Oreochromis niloticus: one gene and its partner. The main gene of each other region encodes a partner of the protein of the gene in region 2 in a complex. Links are inferred from orthologs where the notes say so. Each region holds a gene or a part of one and is shown on either strand. Other genes may lie near its edges.

Region 1 (10,497 bases), on a different chromosome or scaffold from region 2:
CTTGATGGTTGCAGCTTCGATGTGGTAGCGCAGAAACAGGCCGTGGTCTCCCCAGGGCCGCCCACTGGCCTGCTTCATCACCATTAGCATCATGGTCTGGACTGCGTGGCTGTACCCCGACACGCTATCCCAATCGTTCCTTTGCAGCTATAAACACATCCACAAAGAAAAGCTACATAACGACTCTTCAACACATAGTCTTAGCACTCTGCTAACCACACACAGAGCAGAGTGCGTCTGTTTATAAGCCTTTACCTTGCCCTGAATGGTGCAAAGAACTCCTATCTTCTGACAGAAGGCATAGAAGAGGTTTGCTAAGTCCAGGTTGGGTAACTGGCCATTGAGACCTTCCAGTACCAGGTCCAAACTGGTGATGACATCACTGCTAAGCTCCAGGGACAGTGCTGCCTGGATTGATCCACCACGGCCTTGTAATGGAGACCACGACATACCTGGATGAACCATTTCAACAGTAAAGTTAACTTAGTTATACATCTCATTCCTTTATTTTACTGTAACTAGATACACGTGTTTGATCACCTGTAGTGTTGGTGTGATGGTAGCCCTCCAACCAGGCCTGCATACCAATCAAATCATGCTCATTGACAAGGAAGATGATGTCCTTGGCCCAGTAAATCTGATCTATTAAAAAAACAACATTCATTAAACCAAGAAAAGCAAACAGCATCATTCAAATTGTGGAGAAGGAGAGGGGAATGGGTGCTGTACTCACTTCTGAAGTACTGAGCCAAGCCGAGAAGCAGTCCCACAGCCTGGTTGTTGCTATCACCTGGGCTGCAGGGAGCACTCAGCACCAGGGCTTCAGTCCGTGGAGCTCTAGGAGCTCGAAGGATACCATATACATTTGTGCCTTTTACAATCTGCCAAGAAGAGGAGACAGCACCAAAGGATAAGTCATTAAATATTCATAAAGATTGTGCAAAAACCAGTCTGTCTCTTGCTGAGAACAAAATCAGTTTTCCACGATAAACTCACATATCTCTCTTTGTTTTCATCAGGGAAGGGTAGTGTGCGAGAGAAGCTCTGAGTAAACACTTCCAGTCCTCGATCCTGCATATTCTTCACGAGCCAGTCCACTGGCATCCCACTGCAGAGACGCAAATAGTCAAACAAGATTACTGTAAAAACGATCAGACTTCTACCGAGACTTGAGTTTCAAATAACAACAAAAAACTAGGAACAAACTGCATAAAGACCCACAAGCACAAGTCTATAGTAAACCTTACCCAACTTTCTTCTTATGGGCTGCAAACTCCCTCCCGGTGGCCAACGCTCTCTCCCCAGCTGGAAAGCGCTCCTCCACCATGGTAGAGCCCATGGCATTCTCTGACATGTATGTCCGCAGAGTGAACGGCTCAAAGGCCAAACCCATGAACCAAGCCACACCGGCAAAGTAGCAGACCACACTAAAACAAGACAGAAGTAATATTAATAGAGAGAGAGAGAGAGAGAGAGCTAAACGAAAGTAGGCAGACGTTTCACACTGACTAAAACTCACCAGATTGGGGCATTGAGGCGAGTCAGCATACTGATCAAAGCCCGTCTTCTGTTTGGGTCAGATAGCAGCCCCATATTATCAGCTGTAACGTTACTCCAAAGCCTGGATTTACTGGCGGATCCTGAAGGAAACACACAGACAATTTAAATATGATTTGTTAACAATCCGTAAGGATAACTACCGCTGAGGAATACACATCGATATGAAGACATTTATGACCATTCGACGCTGCGGTAATCACGCCTTTATATCGAGCTGAGAAATTGCTTCCTGGGATCCATTGTCAGAGCATCTACTGACAGCTGAGGTTAGCCTGGTGCAGCGAGCTAGCAAGCAAGCAGGACGGTTTCGCTGAGTGGTAAATGTTTAAACCCGCTATACGCTGAAAAAGCTTTTTTTTTTTTTTTTTTTTTAAAGAGCTTTAACAAATTTTTTTATTATTTTGCAGAATATATATAAAAAACCCACCTGTGTCCACTGGTCACATCCACCTTCAGAGGTGGGGCTTTATCGCAGAAGCCGCTGCTGGACGTTTTCGATTTCCTTGTTCCTGCGGGAACATTACCGCGGCGCACCGACTTCCGCTCAAGCAAGTTAAAATAAAATAAAGTAAAACAAAATAAAACGACACAAAGAAATATTGAAAATACTGGATGAATAACCCGTTTCATCGTTATTAGGTACATGTTATACGTTATAAGGTACATGTTTAAAACTTCCCTTAAAATTTTTCTTAAATGCTTAAAGCTCGTAGTTTTCATTTAGCTTACCTTAATACAGAGTGACTTTACTCGTGTATTTAGTTTAAAACATAGTTTTTTAAATTATTATTTATTGCTATAAAATGTAGAACATCAATGTGGTAGCTTGTTTCTGCCAGTGGAAATATATATCTCAAAATGTGTGAGCTCAGAAGTAAGTCAACATTTCAAGATACTTAGTAACCAGAAAGGGTTAAAATCTCAAAAATTTTGAGTTGGACAAACAAGCTTCCATCATAGAGAGTAGGGAGCAGGTGGGGAAGATAACCGGGGGTGATGGAGGTGTGTCCTGGAGAGAAGGTCAGTAGAAACAAGAGAGGATACATGTTTCAATGGCTGGGAGGCAGGTGGAGAGGTGAAGCTGCAGGAGCAGACGTCGTATAAGTAGACAAGTTTGAATACCTCACTCACAAATAAACAACCAATAAGGAAACGATGCATGACTAAAATATTTATTATTACATTTATCACATACATACAACAGTATTCAGTGACTGATATAAATGAATTAAACGTTAATATCATTTGTAAATATTTAAAGTCCAATAACACTTTCAAGCTGCACTCGGAGTCCACATGTTCCTGCTGCCGTCCCACGTCACTCTCCAGTGAGCACCGAGGCTTCTTGAAGATGCTGCCTCACCACCTCATCCAGCACTTTGCTCACACCTTTACAAGCAGTCATTGCAGCTTCAATCAGAGTCTCGAGGTGATCCTGATGCAGTCTGGCATCCATCTGCAGCAGAGCGATCTGTCCACCTCGGGGCAGAAGCGCTAAAGCCAATGAGCTCACGCCTCCACTTTCCTCCGCATAGCACAGGTCAGCGAGGGGGGTCTCATCCACAAACCCTACAGTGCAGGCACACACATAGTCCCGCATAGGGATGCCAGCGTCAATCACTGCCAGTGTGGCAGCATTCACGCACACGCTGTAATTCCCTCCGTCTGACTGCAGAATCTGTTGGAAGACGATGGAAACGTGTTTGTGAACAATTACAAAGAAATCTATAATACCTATAATACCTCTCACCAGATGAAGTGTCAGTCCAACACGAACCTTGACATAGATATCAATTTGAGAGCGAGGGTACAGCTGGGTCATCACAGCAGCCTCAAACGTCTGCTTCAGGTGGAGGCTCATCTCAGTGGATTTGCGGTCTCCGTGTGGTCGTCTCTTCCTCTCCGCTGTGCTGAACGTGGCCATGCTATACTGACAGTTGATAACTGCTCGATCATGAAGAGTCCGACTTCGGGAACCTCGCATCTGGAGGAAAACGACACGTAAGAACTGATGTACAGCTTGGACTGGACGTTACTGTGCTTAAACACTGGGACAATGTTAACTGCACTGAACATAAAGAAATGCTGCAATATACACCAACTGGACACTTTTTTTGGTGCACTTGTTCGACGGCTTGTTAACGCAAATATACTTGGAATATAAACGTATCATTTGCACACAGTCAACCTGATTATTGTTGCTGACTGTGTCCATCCCTTTATGACCACATCTTGTGATGTTTGCTTCCAGCAGGATAACACCCCACATCACACACCTCAAATCACCTCAAACAGGTTTCTTGAATATTCTCAAATGACCTCTAGAATCACCATTTCTCATTCCAAAGGCATAACAGGAGATTAATATTATGGATGTGCAACCAACAAATCAGCAGCCACTGTGTGATGCTATTATCTCAATATGGACTAAAAAACTCAAGTGGAAAAGTGTTGTTGAATTCATACCATGGGCCAAGGTGTACCCAATCAAGTGTCTAGAGAATGTATATGTTATCATAACTTTGATTTCAATTAATACTTCATGCTGTTGAGCCTTAAATAAAACTTCCTACACATCTGGTCTGCTTTGAGCAATAATTTAATAATGATACTACACTGTGCAAGTACTGCTACAAGCAAAAGATCTCGCTGAAAATTCCCCTTTCTCAGGTATTTACACTATATTATATCAAAATGTGGCGACTTTATGTCACTGGTGTGATGACCATAATCAAATGCATTTTATTGTTTATCCCCACTAACCCTCCCCTCCATCCGCGGCACTTACTTCGTGGGGACCGTACACCACGGCCAGAGCTTTGGTGTTCCCCTGCTCTAAATACGCAGAGCCGTCGGCCTGAGTGAACACACCCATACGGGCCTGAAGCTTCCGCAGCTCGGTGGCTTTTCTTCCATCTAAACGGTATCCTTGGTCAGACAGCAGTTCCAGGCCCGCCATGTTTCCGTAAACTTCGAATGAACGGAAACGCAGCGTCCCACGTGTCTCCTGCTACACTACATTACCCATACGCCGAGTACCTACGGCAACACCATAGGTCCAAACCGAACGACAACTTCCGGAAAAGAAAAACAGCCAGAGCGGAAACCATGAGAAGCAGAGTTAGTATCCACAATAAACCGTTTTCATTGTGTTTAATACTCTGGTTTCACGTAACTGGTGGCTATGGTCATCTTTTATATACAGTGTTGTGGTCCAAATATGTAGTGATGGATTGTCAGTTACAACAAATACAGAAATATAGTGGTTAGCACTGCTGGCTCACAGCAAGGTCCTGGGTTTAAACCACCAGCTAGACAGGGCCTTTCTCTGATGAGTTCACGTTTCCATAATGCTTGTGTGGTTTCTCTCCAGCTTCCTCACGTGCATTGGTTAACTTGTGATTTTAAATTGACCAAAGGTGTAATGGCTGAATGCGTCTTTGTGTGAGCTCTTTAACAGACTACTGATCTGTCCAGGTAGCACCAAGTCTTTTACCCCTTAGTCACATGGAAAAAGCCCCAGCCCACTTCTAAAAAGCTAACATGTATTCACCTGTATTCAAGTTATGTGTAATTAAGCTGTTCATACCAAGATGCCAAATCAGGAATCCATAGTGCTCACTGTGATACAAACTTGCTTAAAACGTCTAAAATAAAATATCTTCTCTTGAGGCCTCTGGACTTTTGATACTACCCAGATCACACAGTAGGATCCGCAATCCACGATGGAAGAAAGGGTGCAAGAAAATTCCAACACTTTTAAAAATAAAATTTATTAGCATCTCTAATGTGTATAAATAAAAACATATATGAAACAATGCATATACGTATGATGTAATGAGCTTAACAATAACAGGGTTACATGTGATACAAAGGAGCAGTCTTCATTTTAGCCAGTGTATTGTGAGGAAAACTGAAATCAAGCTTTCAAATATGCATACCTATAAGTTGCAAATCTACATTCTTTGACAAGAATGAAATAAAGAAATCTCTTTGGGGCGATAACAGGGAGAATATGGTAAATATCCTTTCTTTTATGCATTCCTGTTCAAAGATTTTAAAACATCTTTCATTGAGTACATTATACTTTTTTTTTTTTTAAAGATTCACTAAATGTTGAGGCGCGGAGCTGCAACACTATTCACACTGACCCTCTCAGCTTTACATAAAAGTTAAAACCCTAAAAGGATTTCTCTTTACTCCCTTTTACCGAGGTCACGTTGTTCCACAGACATGTAATGAGGGTCTTTATAAGCAGGCCCGATGGGGACAATATGATTATAATGTTTGACACAGCGACAAAATATTGTAACATATCAAACTTTACATGTAACTAGCGGACCCAAACAGATCAAACAAACAAGTGGATTTTACATTTTTACTAATGTAACAAGGTTTGTCCTTTTCTGCATGGCTTGCTGTGCCTGGGTCACGATACAAAGGAGACAGTGAACATGGGGGTGAGGGGGGCTCATCTAAGGATTTGGCTCTCTAAGGCTTAAAGCAAAGAATGGAAAGGACCTCTCTTCTTGTGTCACCTAGCGTTTTCCCATTTGGTCATCCTTTAAACAGTCAAAGTTGTCAAATGTCTGGACAGATTTGCACCTAAGACAAAATCTAAATGTGATGCACACTCTTAATGTACATTGCTGACAACTGGAGGGGAATCCCTACAACCCACAATGTGTGTATCATTATTGGCCACTGTCAGTTTTTCCTCATAAATTGAAAAATATCACATTTTTATAGGGGATAACAACATCCAAGACTAACTGCTTCAAAGTAAAAAAAAAAAAAAGGATAAGTACAAAAAAAACAACAAAAAGAAAGAGAAAAGTGATGTGTCTGCTTTAATATGCAGGTGTACGTGACGGTGACAGGTTATCGGCACCCAAGGATCATGGCGACCTCATTCAGCCTTGTGGAATGAAGGGACTATGTAGTAGATCTGAAAAAGATGGTCTCTGCTCCATCCCAAGTCTTCAGAAGAGTGCAAAGATCCCCTTATTTTCCCTGATATATCCATGTTCTCACGTCCTAAAACTCTGCAAACTCCTTCGCGCATTTTTCCGTTAAAGAAACGCGGATTTCCTCCTCCTCGTAGTCGTCGAAGTTGCTCGTGTCCCCCGGGCCTCTACACTTTGGTATGAATGGAGCTTCAACCTGCAGAAGAACAGAAAGACTTGTTTTACTGGGTGGGATTATATTATATTTATGCCTACACTGGCTTGTCAGTAGAGCAGGCAAGACTGTATTGTATTACAGTGAATCTAGACAGCATTTGTTGTCCTGGCAAACCCCAAATGCTGTCAACTTAAACGATGTGCTTGTCAGATAGCTGGTGAAGCCTCTTCCTCTACAATGGAGGCAGTTTTTAATAACTTAACAAAAACTGGCAACTGCAGTTTGTGTAACAATTCACCAGGTGTGCAGATACGAGAGCACACACATCTAAATTTCCCTCTCAAGTCTGCTTTTCATTCCTAAAACTACTTTATTCACATCCTGAGTAGAACAAAGCACAAAAGCATGAATCCTTTCATTAGACATCTTAATCCCATCTTAAAAATCATCCTCAAAGCATCTGATCTGAAGAGCTTCCACACCACAGATACAGACACTTGTGCCTTCATAAATAATCAGACATACACTTTACAAACCAGCTGATGCATAACAAAGAGTTAAACCTTTAAAGCCCTAACCATGAAATCATTCAGATAATTTGTTCATCGAATCTTCTGACAATTTTTGAAATTTATCGTTTAAAAATGTATTGTCCAATTTATTTAGGTTTTATGGGGGGGAAAAAACAAAACAGCAGAATCACAATGATGATGAAAAACTGTATGTATCAAATATGTTACAGGTTAATGGGTACCTCTGGTATCGCTTGTACTTTCATCTTTGTCCCCTCTAATTTAACAGGATTTTGTATAGTTACATTTTAACTAGGGCTGCACAATGACTCAAATTTTAATCTCAATCATATGAGAGTTTGGCTTCCCATAACTGTTCAGCATCACATTTCCTGAAAGCACTTGACTGGGGTGATATACTCCAGATAACAGACCATCGAAACAAAATTTAAATGTCTGGCGCAGCACGACGTGGAGCTTGTCCCTAGAAGCGGATCATCATTCATAGTTTGGAAATACTTTGGATGTAGGGCAAGCAACGTCAGCCAAGTCATATTGTGTCTGTGCTGCAAAGCAGCACAAGTACCTTATTGAAAACAAATCACAAACTGCAGGATAATTAATGCATGAAGGCTAAGGAAAAACAACGCAATGGCTGCTAGCAAGAATTTTCCAACATCAACTCAGACGTTTGTAAAAATAAGCCTCCGTATGAATATACGTCTGGCTCACAAAGACACACTGAAATCACAAAAGTAGCCACATTAATTTAACCAAAGATATGTGAGTTAAAAAAAAAAAAAAACAGGGTAAGTAATGCAGGCTTCTGGAAAATGATCAACATACGGGGACAAAAGAGCCGTTATCCCCAGCGCAATTATTTTTCCAAAGTGGTAATACCTGCCCTGTATGCAAAACGTTGCAGGGGAAATGGCAAATGATCTCAGAGTTGTCGGGCACTTGGTACTCCAAGCTTCATTCATATCCCTGGTACTGGAGTGAAAAACTTCACATTTTGCTTCTAGGAGACGCACTTAGGTCACTGAAATATTTGTCTGCAAAGATGTTTTAATTAACAGGAATTTTACAAAAGCTAAAAGTGGGTGCCGTGCCTCACTGACTCAACTATGCATAAAGTTCTACTTTAATTTTTATTAATATTTATTTTTCTTCTAAATGATGCGCTGAATTTAAGTCATTCAGTGTTTATGTTTTATTTATTTTTTTGTTTGTTTGCATCCGGCTTGTGGACAACAGTCAAATTAGCCATCTGGCAAACACTGTAAATTGACCTCTTCGGACAAAGCATTATCTTTGATAAAATTAATATAATCATTTATATAATCTATATTTAACTTTCTTTTAACTTGCTCTTTGTACTGTGTTTGCACATTAATTTTACCCATTATTTAACATGAGTCATATGATTGCAGCTTATTCAAATACATAATGCACATAACTGAGACTAAAGACAAACTGTGATTGGACGATTTTCTCAAACAGCAGAGTTGCATCTGTAATGCTTTAATACATCACTTACTGAACACTACTTTCAATGATGCACTCAGTACAACACAACGTGTATATCTTAAAGACAAAAACTGTGGCATTTTTTCAGAGTTGCCAGTTCAACTCCCTCTGCTCTGGATTTACTACATGTCAGAGAATAACCTTACACGCAGAAGCATGTGACATTAGCCAGGATCCAGAAACAAATGCTATATGATTAATCGGATCATTTGGTCATAGTCAGATGTCTACTTTTTTCCATAATTATTAAATCATGAAACACATATTAAAACAAAATGATCAAAGAGAAGAAACGACCTCTGCAAAAATAACAAAATATGCTTAAACGAGCTGGACTAGAATATTCAAATAGGATATTTATTCACTGGGACTGAGACATTGTCTTCATAAAATCTCAGCATGGGCGCTTGCCAACTTACAGTGAGACTACACAGTGACTGGCCCAAGATATTACATTCTAACACTGTCATACAGCAATATACTAAAGGCAAAGCAACTGAATTTCTGTCCACAAAGAAAAGGCTCCAACTTCACTGTAAATACAAAACAGCTTCTCTTCCTTTTTGTAGCTCTTTATCTTGCTTTTATGCCACAAAACCCCAAGAAGCAACTCTGCTCATGAGGAACTGCTCTGGAGTTTTACTGGACTAACTTAAACAGAGAACGCTGCTTATTTTCATCTTATAACAAATCACAGGTAGAAGAGTGCAAAAACAAAGTAAAAAAACAAAAACATAATGCTTGCATATTAAGCTAAACTAAAGGAAGTCAATAAGATTTAAGCCCAAGCTAAATAACTAATTAGATTTATCCAAACAGTCCATTATCACTGTCACGCCTGCAAACTGGCATGTGGCACCATCTGCAGTGAAGCTGGGTGATTTCCAAGTGAAAAAACCCCACACCTTTTTACTGGCCAGTTAAAAAAATGAAATAAATATATTAAGTAAATACTGTGCATGCAACAGCTAAGTAACGACAATCAGAAAGGACCGTGTAGTAAAACTGATTGAAGAGTATTTGGAAACTTTCTAGAAAATAAATAAATATGTGTGTAAATCGATATATAATTAACTCTACGAGCTAATTCTGTATGGTGTCACTTTAATGTGTGTTTGGTATCTTGCCTTTCTCTCATAGATTGCGATCCAGTCTGTTGTGGCGAACCATTTGTGTCCCTTGATGTCATTGACTCCATTCTTCAAGTTGCCGTAGCGTTTGGTCAGATCCACCTGCAGCAGGTTTCTCAACAGGTCCTTTAAATCGGAGCTGAAGTGGGACGGGAACCGAACCTGAAAAGACTGCAAGTGTTAGGATTTCATTTCTAGTAGTTAAAGCAGTCGTGCACATTTAATTTAACTTAGCTATCATGCATGGCCGTTGCTCCTCATGCCATCATGTTGGCATTTCCAAAAGAAGCAGCTTCTTACCTTTCCAGACACAATCTTCTCATAGATCTGAATAGGCTGATCTGCAAAGAAAGGAGGGTAGCCAGCTGCCATTTCATAGATGAGGACTCCAAGGGCCCACCAATCCACAGCTTTGTTATAGCCCTAAAACGAACATAACACATGTTAATATAACAGAAAACACACAAGAAGAAAAATACTTATAGTATATAATTGGAGAAAAAGTAGGCTGTTTTTAAGACATTTAAGACTTTCTCATTATAATTTATCACTTGAGAAAACTTCCAAATGGCTCCCGCAGCTCCACTTGGATAATAACACCGAGGAGCTTTGGTTAGTTGCATTGTAAGAATCTGTATTTC
Region 2 (11,414 bases):
TAAACACCATTCACTCCATATTGTGTTGTATGTTTGGTTACTATGCTGTTTGATAAAGACCACAGTAGCCCCAGTACTCCCAGCAACCCACACACCAGAGCTTGCAGCACTTCCAATGGCAACAACTAACAAAGTGTCAAAGTGGGAGGCATGTTCTTGCACAGCCATTTAGCAGCAGGTTCTGAAACTGTGTCACTGGGAACAGACTGCTGAAAGGTAGCCGACAGCATTGCGACAGAGGCATTAGGTTGTTCCACCGTAAGCATGAATCTGAGCCGTTAGGATTTTTTTTACTCTTTTTTTTTTTTTTTGCCCAGTTGAGGTTGCTGGCTTACTCTGAGCACAACGCACGGTTTGCTGAGCTGCATGTTTGTTTGTTTGTTTTTACGCCAGGATCACAGCCAATAATTTGTCTTCCAGACGCCACTGGTGCTGCTTGACTGTATCCCGCCTCACTCCCCAAAACATGACCTGCCCCAAATCTTATCTCTTCCTTCCTCTTCCTTCCCCTCTGCAACCCATTAACCACTCTCCTGTGTTTCTCCGCACACTCCTCTTGTATGTTCTATGTATCAGGCTTTAGATCAGCTTCACTAACCCATGCCAGTTATACGACACAAGGCACTCTGCTAGAAGACGTTTTAGCGAGGGATTCCAGTTAACATGTCTTAACCGAGCTTGAGATGCTTACATAAACCTTAAAGTCAATATCATTATTTCTTTCTGCATTATCTTATTTGTAGTAACATACTGAAGTCTATTTTTTTTTTTGTCCTTCTTCCATGTTTCTTTTTGCACTGAACAGTTGCAATTCTTGCAGCACCAAATGCAGCAGCAGCAGCAAATGGCTATGGGAGCAGCAGCTCCTCAGGGGGGAGCGCCACGGCACCATACCGCCAGCCAACCAAGAAGTAAGAGGAAGAGGAGCACGCCTCAGCCCCTCCCCAAATCATGAAAGACTTAAATCACACTAAGACCTTCCCCCCGCCCAAATCCACACACAAAAGGACGTGAATGATCCATATTGTGCTCTTTGCCTGCCTCGCTGTCGAGTGTAGGCAGAAAAAACAACGACGAAAAACCCCACAAAAAACTCTTTTCTGTTTGTCTTTTTCTAGCTGACAAATTTGTATGTAATGGTTGTCAGATGTTTGGGAGAGAACCAAAACTGTGTCCACCATAGGGGATGGGGAGTGTTAGAAAAGGGAGCCCTAAAGTTAAAAAAATTGTTAATGCTATTTTTTGAGATGACACAGAAGAGGATTGTTGTAAGTAGTGGGCTTCCACAATAACGCACCGCCCCCCTCCGTTGTGGAAGAGCTGTCTCTAATGGAGGCCCTGTGAACTGAGAGGATCGCAGATGCACATTCTCAGAGGATTCCCCTCGAGAAGCCCGATCCTAATGCCTCTGCTCGGTTGACCCAGGTAGAAACTGCCCTTTAAGCACGGATCCCGACTGAGCTTACCGACACCAAATCCTCCCTGTGTAACCGTTACATGTGAAATGCAAATCTGATCTTGGAATTGTGCCTGGGGGCAGCTCTCTACCTCTCAGTCTGTTGGAAGTCTTTCTTCTCTTAAGCAGTCCCAGCACAGGGCTCAAACGAGGACTCAAGATCATCATGCAAGATGGTGTACCTGCTTTTGTACAGCACATTTTGAAAAGGCATTTCCTTTTAATTAGTACAGGAGCCATGAGCGTATTCTTACGAGACATCAACTGAGTGTGTGTGTGAGACATTTCCGGACACTGAGAAATAATTTTTTAAAGCGGTCTTTGTCAGCAGTTTTATTGTTATTAAAAAAAAAGAATATATATTGACAGTGAAAAATACAGCTTTTAGATAAAAAAAAAGCATCGTCCGAGTGTCATTATTGTGCCTTCTTCACACTGTGTGCAACTTTGGCAATGAGTTTCTGGATCTCTCTCTGTCGTGTTGTTGCTCGGCTGATACACTCCTGCAGCCTCTCTCCTGACAGTGATGTCCCACCTGAGCAACAAGTAGCAATGTATAGAACAGTATTTCCCAGTTACGTTAAAAATGTCTTTTTGGCATTTTTGAGTTTTTTGCTTTTTGTTTTATTTCTGTTGACCTAACCTGAGTGTTCATTTTGAAGCCGTCAGTTTATGTTGGTGTTACTATTACACATGCATTGATTCATACAACAGGGGTATTCTGAGGACATTTTTTTTGTGTTAATGCCAAATCAGGTTAAAGGAGTAGCTCCATAGTGTAGTGGTTAACACATTTTCTTGGCAAGCAAACAAAGGATCGCTGACTCTACCCCTACTAGAAACATAAATCCCCTTTGGCGTCATGCCAGGAAGGACATTAGCATTAAAACTGGCAAATCAGTTGCAGATTTTGGCTCTTGCAGTAAGGGATAAGCCTAAAATATCTTCAACCAAATTAGGTTCATGCCACATACCATGCAGTCTAGAAAGGCAAATCGCTTCAAACGTATTCCTCACCTGGTTTGTGCACAGAGCAGAGCCGGTCATCCTCATCAGTCACCACCGTCAGGTGTGCTGTTGACAGAGTCTCCTCCTCAGCTGTGGGGTCCGAAATCAGTATGGAACTGCAGCGAGATTAGGCCAGGATTAGAAAAAGAAGCACATGTCACTTAAAAATAGAGATTATAAATTTCTTTTTTGGGTTGTTGTTTTTTTTTTTATATATATAATGGCTAGACTAACTTACTCATCAAAGATGCAAAAAGAAGCGCTGACTAGATGTTTGTGAATCTGAAGTTCCCATCTCTTTTCTAAATTCACCTCTGGTGCAGAGGTCTCCTTGTTGATGGTGACTTCTGGGAGTCGTGCTGTGAGGAGCCAGGATACTGTTAAGTTCATGTACTGCTTAAAGAAGAAGAACTACTGATTTGTTTCCATTATTACCAGTTAAGACACATGGACTTTTTTTAAAATTTACATTACAGTAGAAATTTACATACTGTTCTTTAGAGCAGCCAAGAGTGCGATAACACAAGCATCCAATATGTTCCCATCATAGTCGAGACACATGAGGTCACAGTACAGCACCCAGCAGAGCTGCAACAAGAGTCCGCAGTTTTAGTACCCATGGCTGGATATTTAAGGGTCAAATTGTATGTCAGTGTAGCCCCGTGACTCTTGGGTTTACCTTTCCTCTGTCGATGGACAGATCCTCTGTTTTTATCACTTCAGAGCTGAAAAATTCACATAAAAACTTAGTTAAACCAGCACCAGGTTTAAAAACTATCACTCATTTAAAATAAACATTTAAAAAAAGCTAACATATACTGAAGTCGGGCACCTTTCAATGACATCAGCGATAAACTGGCTGGCAGCCTGGGCCTCCTCTCCCGGTGGTCCCGGCCGAAAGCGAGAGGAACATAGGGGTGGCAGGTCCACGTTGGGCACTGATGGAGATGCGATCATTGTTTGAATGACATGATATCAGATAATTAACAAAGAAAGAATGGGAGAAAACAAAGACTTCTTACTACACCTACCAATGTAGCCTTTACCAGGTGCCTCCACTGTAGGGTTTGCTAGCTCCTGCAGGAGGGGGAGATATAAGTGAGTACTTATCAACCTGGCCCACACTCACTAAATAAAAAAAACAACAAAAAGGAAAAACAAATGTGTTTACCGCTTTAATTCCACATATGATTGTTGTGTTTCCAAGCTTCACCAGGGCTGAGCCATCTGCTGTAGAAATTGACCCTAAACATGGAAATAAAATAAAAAATCCTATGTAGGTTACAGAAACCTCGCACACACTCACACACTGTGGGGAAGTCTCACCTATGTTCAGTGTTGTGGTTCTGAATTCAGTCAGCTCTCGTCCATCAGGCCGACAGTTTTCTTTCTAAAGAGAAACGAGAAACAAATAACAGTTCATATCCATCCAGAGAGCAACACTTGTCTGTCACGTGTGGGATGAACTTGTTTTCAACACTGACCAGAAAGCTCCGGTGGTACTCCAGAGGCTCAGCAGTCCTGCAAGTTAAAAGGGAACGCGGTAAAGGAAGCCACAGCACCGACACATCAGAAGCTCACTCAGAAACAGCACAGCGAAGAGAGTGACCGAGTACTCATGCTATACACGTCAATGACAAATATCTGAGCCAGTCATAAACTACAGCTGTGACACAAGAATGAATAAAGTGCGCTCTTTGTCACATGCATGATGTCCGGTATTTTCGTTTTATTTTGTGTAATAAATAATTTAATTTATTATAACACCAAATATGCATTTACTCCGCTGGTAAGTACAGGAAAAAATAAACAGAGCAAACTAAAAGTGATATTTTCCCAAACATAGAACGGAGAGCTTGTATATTCTTACTTGAAGCCAGCCGCCATGATGTTTTGATTAACCACGTGGGTTTGCGCTATGACCTACGGTAGCCGGGTAGGAAGAAGCGCATAACCAAAGTTTAACCAAACGCGTTTGTAACCAAATCATGACCTGTCCATAGACGTCTCTGGTCAAATCTAGTTGCAAGTAAATAAACTCCAGCCATTTATTGAGTTGCTTTTTATATTTTTGTGGACCTTGTAGGAAATCTTCAGGAAACATTTCCGATAGATTTTACAAAATAATTTTTGAGAGGTCGTTGTCCAAAATATGACCTTTAGGGAATTGGGGGACTGGGATGCAGGTTGTTGTTTTCCATAAATGTTACAACAAAATGTTGTAGACTAGAAGAAAAGTCTTTAATGCTTTGACAAATGCTAATATTTTTCCTAGCATTATACCTCCCTTTTTTTCTTTATGTACATGTTAAAGAGAGAGTCCTTGCCACCATTTCCACCCCTGTCCGCTATGAGGCAGTGTGCCCCAGCGCCGAGCGGCACTGTGCCGCTCGTTGTTCTCCTGCTCCAATATGATGATGTGGGAGAAAAAACAGTCACTACTTCCGCATCGTCGTTGTGTTCAGTTGTGATTGGAAGTGGAGTTAGGTGAAGTGTCCTCACAGCAATGGAAACATAAGGACTCATATTAAACATTTTAACCTTCTGAATAATATCGTAAGGTCGTAATTTGGTACATATATTTGGACACACCAGGAGGTTAGAACACAGGCTGTGTGTCAATAAAGGAAGGGAAAGGAGAAAGCCAGCTAGCTTCTGAGCTAGCCCCCTGCAGGTGGTCTGTCTGTCAGTGGGTGTAGGGTAGGTAACCTGATGGAAAATGGATTTCCTCTGTGAAATAGTTCAAGCCCTCGTCGCACTGGCAGCTGTAGGTTTCATCGTGGTGAGTAATCAGTGCTTTGGATGAGAGATGCTGTAGCTAAGTTGTTTTGGGAGAAGTTGCCCAAATACAGTTACAGTGATAGCGTGGGTATCTTTCCTTTTGTACTTTTCAAAACTTTCCAAGTTATCCTTGAGCATTGTGTTTGACTCGGGCCACTTGTAGACTTTTACAGGCCTGTTCATGTACCTCAGTTTTATGATACTTCCTCTTCATTCTGCTCTAAAGCAACAGAGGGGTCAAGTGTCATGCAGAAAAAATATCTCGTAAGTAATATAAGCATGAAAAGGAGCAACATTTAATTCAGAAAAACTAGACATTGGCTGATACCGGATCTTTAGGTTGTAAATAAATCCTGTATTGATTGGTATTTATTCAGAGCGTTAGTCCTATTGACTATTGAAAGCATATATGAAACATATGGTACATATTTGCTCGCATTCTTTTAGATATAGACCAGTTTCTAAAGTTTTACATTTTAGGATATAATAAAAAATAATCTCGTCCTTAGCAGATCTTAAAATTGAGTAAATACAACCTCAGATGAACTACAAAATGTGACATAGGAATGCAGAGAGTAATTAGCAGTCAGGTGCCTGCTATTAAGTAATGATCAGCAAGTTTGAGCACCTCTATAAAAAAAAAAGAAGGAAGTTTTCTGGTCTGGAGTATTCTAGGGTGGGGTAACACAATGCCAAGGAGGAAAGACATCAATTGTGTCTTTCATCATCAACTTGCTTCTCTGTGCTAGAGAAGCAATTGGTGGTTCTCATGAGTCTAGAAAGTCTTTTAAGGTCTTCTCTCTAAAAAGAACATGGGAGCGTAGCGTAGGTTTTCAGTCTTACATCTGAACAAACCACAAGACTTGTGAAACAATGTGCTTTGGAGATATTTGGCCAAAACGCATCACTGCACCACATTTGTAGAAAGATTCAATTGTAAATCAAATGCAATTCTCACTTTTCAGTTGCTCGTAATAGCACACTTAACCGCAGGGATGGTGGACCTGACACGCCATGAGAAGGAGAAACACTTTCTCACCGCCACCGGAGAGAAGCGGCTCTTCCCCAGTCTACATGATCCCCATTCCAGGGAGCTCTCTGTGGTGGTCCCGGCCTACAACGAGGAGCTCCGATGTGAGTAAAGTCTGCTTTTCTGCTCAGTCAGTCATTATGAATGCCCACATTAGACACACACTGTAAATAGTCAGTTTTCATTAGGCGTTAGTAGTGCAATCCATCCAGGTTGGTGCAGTCAGACGTCATGTCACTGTGCAGTAGGTTGTACTTGCTATTATATGTGTGTTACTGTGTCCCTTCAGTACCAGTGATGATGGATGAAGCTATGGAGTACTTGGAGAACAGGCAGGTAAGTGCAGAGCCTGAATTAAAGCGTAATTATATTTACAGTAAAAAGCAGCACATTTAAAAGCATATAAAACAAAATGTATCACCGGATATCCAATTACCACATTTAACAGTAACTGTAATTACATTTGGGATATTTATTTATAATCAAAATCTGACACACAAAAAGCAAACAAAAGAAAGACTGTTATCAGGACTGTGTTTTTATTAGGAACATTTATTAGTTAATAAATGTATATACTTTAAAGCTAAACTATGTATAAACAGATGGCTTAAAAATTTTAATGACAAGAAAGCCCTTAAATTATTTGTTCTGTTCATTAGTTTGAATTTATTTCAAGGTGACCACACCTTTTCAGAGATACAGTTCAAGTTTGTTTTTTTTGTTTTTTATAATTTGTTTACATTTTTTGGTCACTGGGTCCTTTTTTCTGCAACCTTGTGTATATAGGTTTCTTGAATAACTGATGTTAGTGCCTTTTTGTCTGCACTGATGATGGATAATGTTCATTATTAAAAAAAAAAAAACAAAACATATATTGCTGGATATGTTATTCTCAGACTTACCAGTAGGTGGCAACAATGATCTGGGTAAAGTGGCTGTTGTGAAACAAGTCTCTCCTGTTTTTTGTTTGTTTTTTTTGTCTGTTTTTTCTTCTGACTGCAGAAACAAAACCCCTCTTTTACCTATGAGGTCATCGTGGTGGATGATGGCAGCAAAGACAAAACCACAGAGGTAATAATTTTAAATCTTTTTTGGGGCAAATGTAACCAGACCTTCTATTTTAGCACAACTCCGTTTTGCTCAGCTAAACATTTTCAACCAGTATAGATCGGTTTCATGAGTGGACACTGTTGTGTTGTCCTGGCAGGTTGCTTTGCGGTACACTAGGAAGTACAGTGCTGATAAAGTGCGCGTCCTGACGCTGGTGAAGAACAGAGGGAAAGGAGGAGCTGTGCGGATGGTGAGATTGTAGATGTGAGATTACAGTGTGTCCAAATGGGAACCCTAAAGCAGCAGTTTGGAACTGACTTTGGGTTTTTTTGTTTTGTTTTTATCTCTTTTTCTTTTAAAGGGAACTCTGAGCTCCAGAGGGAAAGTCATTTTGATGGCAGATGCTGATGGAGCCACAAAGTTTTCTGACATTGAGAAAGTGGAGGGTGGACTCAATGACCTCAACCCCAAACCGGTGTGATGGTGTTCTGTTCTGTTTTAAATTCAGTTTCACTTATTAGATATATAAGTGTGTAAAAGTGGTTAAAATGTGGCCAAGCCTAATGCCTCATGTGCTGCTCTCACGTCTAGGAGAACATGGCAATTTCATGTGGATCCAGAGCTCACCTAGAGAAAGATTCTGTAGCTCAGGTAACAGGGTTTTATTTTATACTGCTTAAAAAGAAAAGTGTTCGAAATTATTTTTCAGAACAGTAAATGACCACACTTTGGTGTCTTTGCAGCGGTCTTTGTTTCGTACGTTCCTTATGTATGGCTTCCACTTCCTGGTGTGGTTTTTTTGCGTGAAGGGGATCAAGGACACTCAGTGTGGCTTCAAGCTTTTCACACGTGAGGCTGCACTCAAGACCTTCTCCTCTCTCCATGTAGAGCGATGGTAAGGAATCAGCCTCCACTGTTGGCACATGATGATGTCTTAGCTTAAAGTATTAGCTTTAATGTGCATTCACCTGGACTATATTAAAAGCAGAAATTTGCAAATCTTAACCAATTTGTCATATGTTTAGCAAAGGGATTGCTGGACAATTTAGTGTAAAGGCCATTACACACCGAGCGCATTGTGAAAAAGTCAAATTAAATTTTGAAGCCACATCTGAGAGGGCAGAGAAATAATTTCAGAGAGCCGACTGACCCGGAGCAAAGTCTAGCTGTGTGTCTGTGAGGTAAAATAGTATTACTTCACTAGTTCCCCATCATTGTTTATTCAGTACAGTGCGCTTTTTGAGCTGCGAACGTGCTTGTTGCCAAATGCAGTGGTGTGATTGTTCAGATCCTTTTATTCACAAATCCCAAAAAATTGAACTTCGTCCGAAAAGAAATTAATGCTGCAGATCCAACTCACAAAATTACACAGATAGGTGGCTCGGAAAAATATTTTTAAGCCATAAAATATTTTCACAGATTTTAAGTGTTCGGTGTGTAAAAGTATTTATTCTGATCAGAGAACACAGAAGAAAATACTCTCTCTCCCTTTCTCTCCACATATATATATATATATATATATATACATACATATAACTGTGTTGAGAACTGCTCAATGTATTACTAAACCCTGGAAGGATAGTATAAGTGGTGAGCCATCCTCTTTGTGGTTGAAGGGTGAAAAAGGCTTGGGATCACTTAAATTTTCGTGAAATCATATTATAAAAAACCGTATTATAAAGCCGTATTATAAAAGCAGTAGAAGTCAGGGCTATGTTTAATAGTGAAAATAAGAATGTTTCTGCAAAGTGCACAATGAACACTGCAAAAAGGGACTCAAGGGGCTGGAACTAAACAGCTGCATAGCCTTAAGAAAACCACTTATCAGTGAGGCTAATCTGAGAAAATGGCTTTAATTTGCTAGGGAGCATCAAGATTGGACTCTGTAGCAATGGAAAAAGGTCATGTGGTCATGTGGATGAGTCCAGATTTACTCTGTTCCAGAGTGATGAGTACATCAGGTTAAGAAGAGAGGCAGATGAAGTGATGCCTACCGTACAAGATTATTGTTATGTCTGCAATTGCTTCAGTTGGTCAGGTCTAAACCCAGAAAGTTACATCAATTAAATCAACACAAAGTATTCCAAGATGACACTCGTTGATTCATGAGTCAAAGAGTGGTTGAGCGAACAGGATTGGCCACCTCAGAGTCCAGACCTTAACCCTGCTGAGATTCTTTGGGATGTGCTGGAGAAGACTTTACACAGAGCTTTGACGTTCCCATGAGCAGTACGAGGTCTCGGTGGAAAACTTAATGCAGCTGTGGACATTATATGTGCAAAATCCATGCCTCAGGGAATCACAAGTTGGTGTACTCTTAGTGTCATCTCAACCCCAGATGAACTGTAGGATGGCAAATCTATGTCATGAGGAATTTTCAGGGCTGAAACTATTAAATCCGGTTCTTTGGATTCTTAGGGCCAAGAAAGACACAGGGCTCAAAGTGGTCTTTTAACTCTAAAAAATGATCTTTATTTTACATATCCGGATATGGAGACCTGAACACACGAACACACAAGCTCAGGTCTGAAATACAAACGGAAGCCTAGGTATTTATATACTTGCTCTACATCACATACACTTTAAGTTTCGATCAAACAGCCTAATTGGTTTCACTTTCTGGTCCTATGCTCTGCAAAAGTATGAAGTTACCATGCTTTTGCAAAAGCATATCGTTTCCTGTCAGGACTTTTGACACAAAGTGTACTCAGAGTTGGGCCTCTCTTATAAAGCAATATAATCAGCATATAAGCATTTAAGATAATATAGTAATTTCTTAACAAAACCCACATTTATGTCATGTTATAAATTGCAACCAGATAAACTTTACACACTCTTAAAGTGAATTAGCACTTTAAGCAGTCTGAGTCCACAATTCTCAGGCATAAAAGGGTGTGGCATGGCTGACTCCGGGACATGGATGAGCTGCTGCCCCAAGTGAAGGAGTTTAAGTATCCTGTGTTTTTTGTTCACGGGTGGGGAAGAGTGGATTGGGATATTCACAGATGGATCTGCTCTGGTGAAGAGAGCGCTGAGTGTGAAAGTGAAGTTGTTGATTTACTGGTCAGTCCACGTTTCTACCCTCACCCATAGCCATGAGCTGTGGGTAGAGACCAAAAAGAAGGAGAGTGCAGATACAAGTGACAGAAATGAGCTTGCAGCAAAGGGTGGCAGGGCTCTCCATTAGAAATTTAAAATAGATTCAGAATATATCTGCTTCTCCTTCAAATCAAAAACAGACAGTTAAGGTGCTTCAGGCATCTGGATAGGATCCCTCCTGAGTGGCCGTTAGGTGAGCAGCAAACTGTCCATGATACAAAGTAACAGAAAAAAACACTGGTCACAAGGATGTTTCATCTGTTTTCTGATAATTAACTGGTGAAAACTCCAAGAAGTGAATTTTTGATGAAATTTAAACAGTCTTCTGTGTCCAAATCAGTTGTGAGCATCACACTAATTAATGCTAAATAACTAAGAAGTCCTGAGGATTTATACCTAGCACAGGTGATGGAGTCACAGTGGAGTTTTAGGTTTTAACCTGCAGTAAAACAGGAACTTTAAATCCACTTTCTTCTCACAGGGCTTTTGATGTGGAGCTCCTGTACATTGCCCAGTGTTTTAAAATCCCCATAGCCGAGGTGGCGGTCAACTGGACTGAAATAGAAGGTACGACTTTTTTTTTTTTTCTTTCCATGAAATATGTGGACGTGTCTCCTCCCACCATGCCACCTATCTGCAGGGCTATAAATATCTCTGTAGGGTGTGTTTGGAAGTCTGTTTGTGGTTGATTGCATTTATTTTTAGACCTTTTGTAATAATTTGTAGAAGTTGATCTTTGTGTGTGAGCTTCATATAAGCCAGCCTAGCACCACTGCAATAAAGTCTTCCTTTTTATTGCACTGTCAGGCATATTTCCAGTATTTTTCTTATGAAAGCACGACTTGAAGCTGAAGCGCCTCTGGGTTTGTTCTAACAGGGTCCAAGCTGGTACCGTTTTGGAGCTGGCTGCAGATGGGACGAGACCTGGTTTTCATTCGCCTGCGCTACATCACCGGAGCCTGGAAACTGCAGTCATCGCATAAGACTGAT

The links. The genes of interacting proteins can lie anywhere in the genome.
Region 1: exosc8 (region 2) and exosc4 share a complex: the UniProt entries of both Homo sapiens proteins name them as parts of the RNA exosome core complex. The link is inferred for Oreochromis niloticus from reciprocal best matches to the Homo sapiens genes EXOSC8 and EXOSC4.

The regions. Positions count from the first base shown.
Region 1 is NC_031982.2:18,039,206-18,049,702, forward strand, and holds exosc4 (exosome complex component RRP41), read right to left. Parts: upstream 4,604-10,497; 5' UTR 4,520-4,603; coding exon 4,349-4,519; intron 3,545-4,348; coding exon 3,338-3,544; intron 3,239-3,337; coding exon 2,879-3,238; 3' UTR 2,712-2,878; downstream 1-2,711. Other genes in the region: gpaa1 (glycosylphosphatidylinositol anchor attachment 1 protein), read right to left, coding at 1-147, 256-452, 541-642, 734-881, 997-1,108, 1,248-1,427, 1,520-1,593; prkacbb (protein kinase, cAMP-dependent, catalytic, beta b), read right to left, coding at 6,598-6,723, 9,854-10,018, 10,157-10,279. UniProt on the Homo sapiens protein: Non-catalytic component of the RNA exosome complex which has 3'->5' exoribonuclease activity and participates in a multitude of cellular RNA processing and degradation events.
Region 2 is NC_031975.2:15,849,421-15,860,834, forward strand, and holds exosc8 (exosome complex component RRP43), read right to left. Parts: upstream 4,438-11,414; 5' UTR 4,352-4,437; coding exon 4,335-4,351; intron 3,986-4,334; coding exon 3,949-3,985; intron 3,855-3,948; coding exon 3,791-3,854; intron 3,710-3,790; coding exon 3,636-3,709; intron 3,542-3,635; coding exon 3,496-3,541; intron 3,403-3,495; coding exon 3,297-3,402; intron 3,190-3,296; coding exon 3,144-3,189; intron 3,053-3,143; coding exon 2,956-3,052; intron 2,824-2,955; coding exon 2,703-2,823; intron 2,581-2,702; coding exon 2,474-2,580; intron 1,992-2,473; coding exon 1,873-1,991; 3' UTR 1,761-1,872; downstream 1-1,760. Other genes in the region: supt20 (transcription factor SPT20 homolog), read left to right, coding at 806-955; alg5 (dolichyl-phosphate beta-glucosyltransferase), read left to right, coding at 5,184-5,246, 6,211-6,379, 6,565-6,611, 7,278-7,346, 7,483-7,575, 7,687-7,800, 7,917-7,976, 8,069-8,220 and 2 more. UniProt on the Homo sapiens protein: Non-catalytic component of the RNA exosome complex which has 3'->5' exoribonuclease activity and participates in a multitude of cellular RNA processing and degradation events.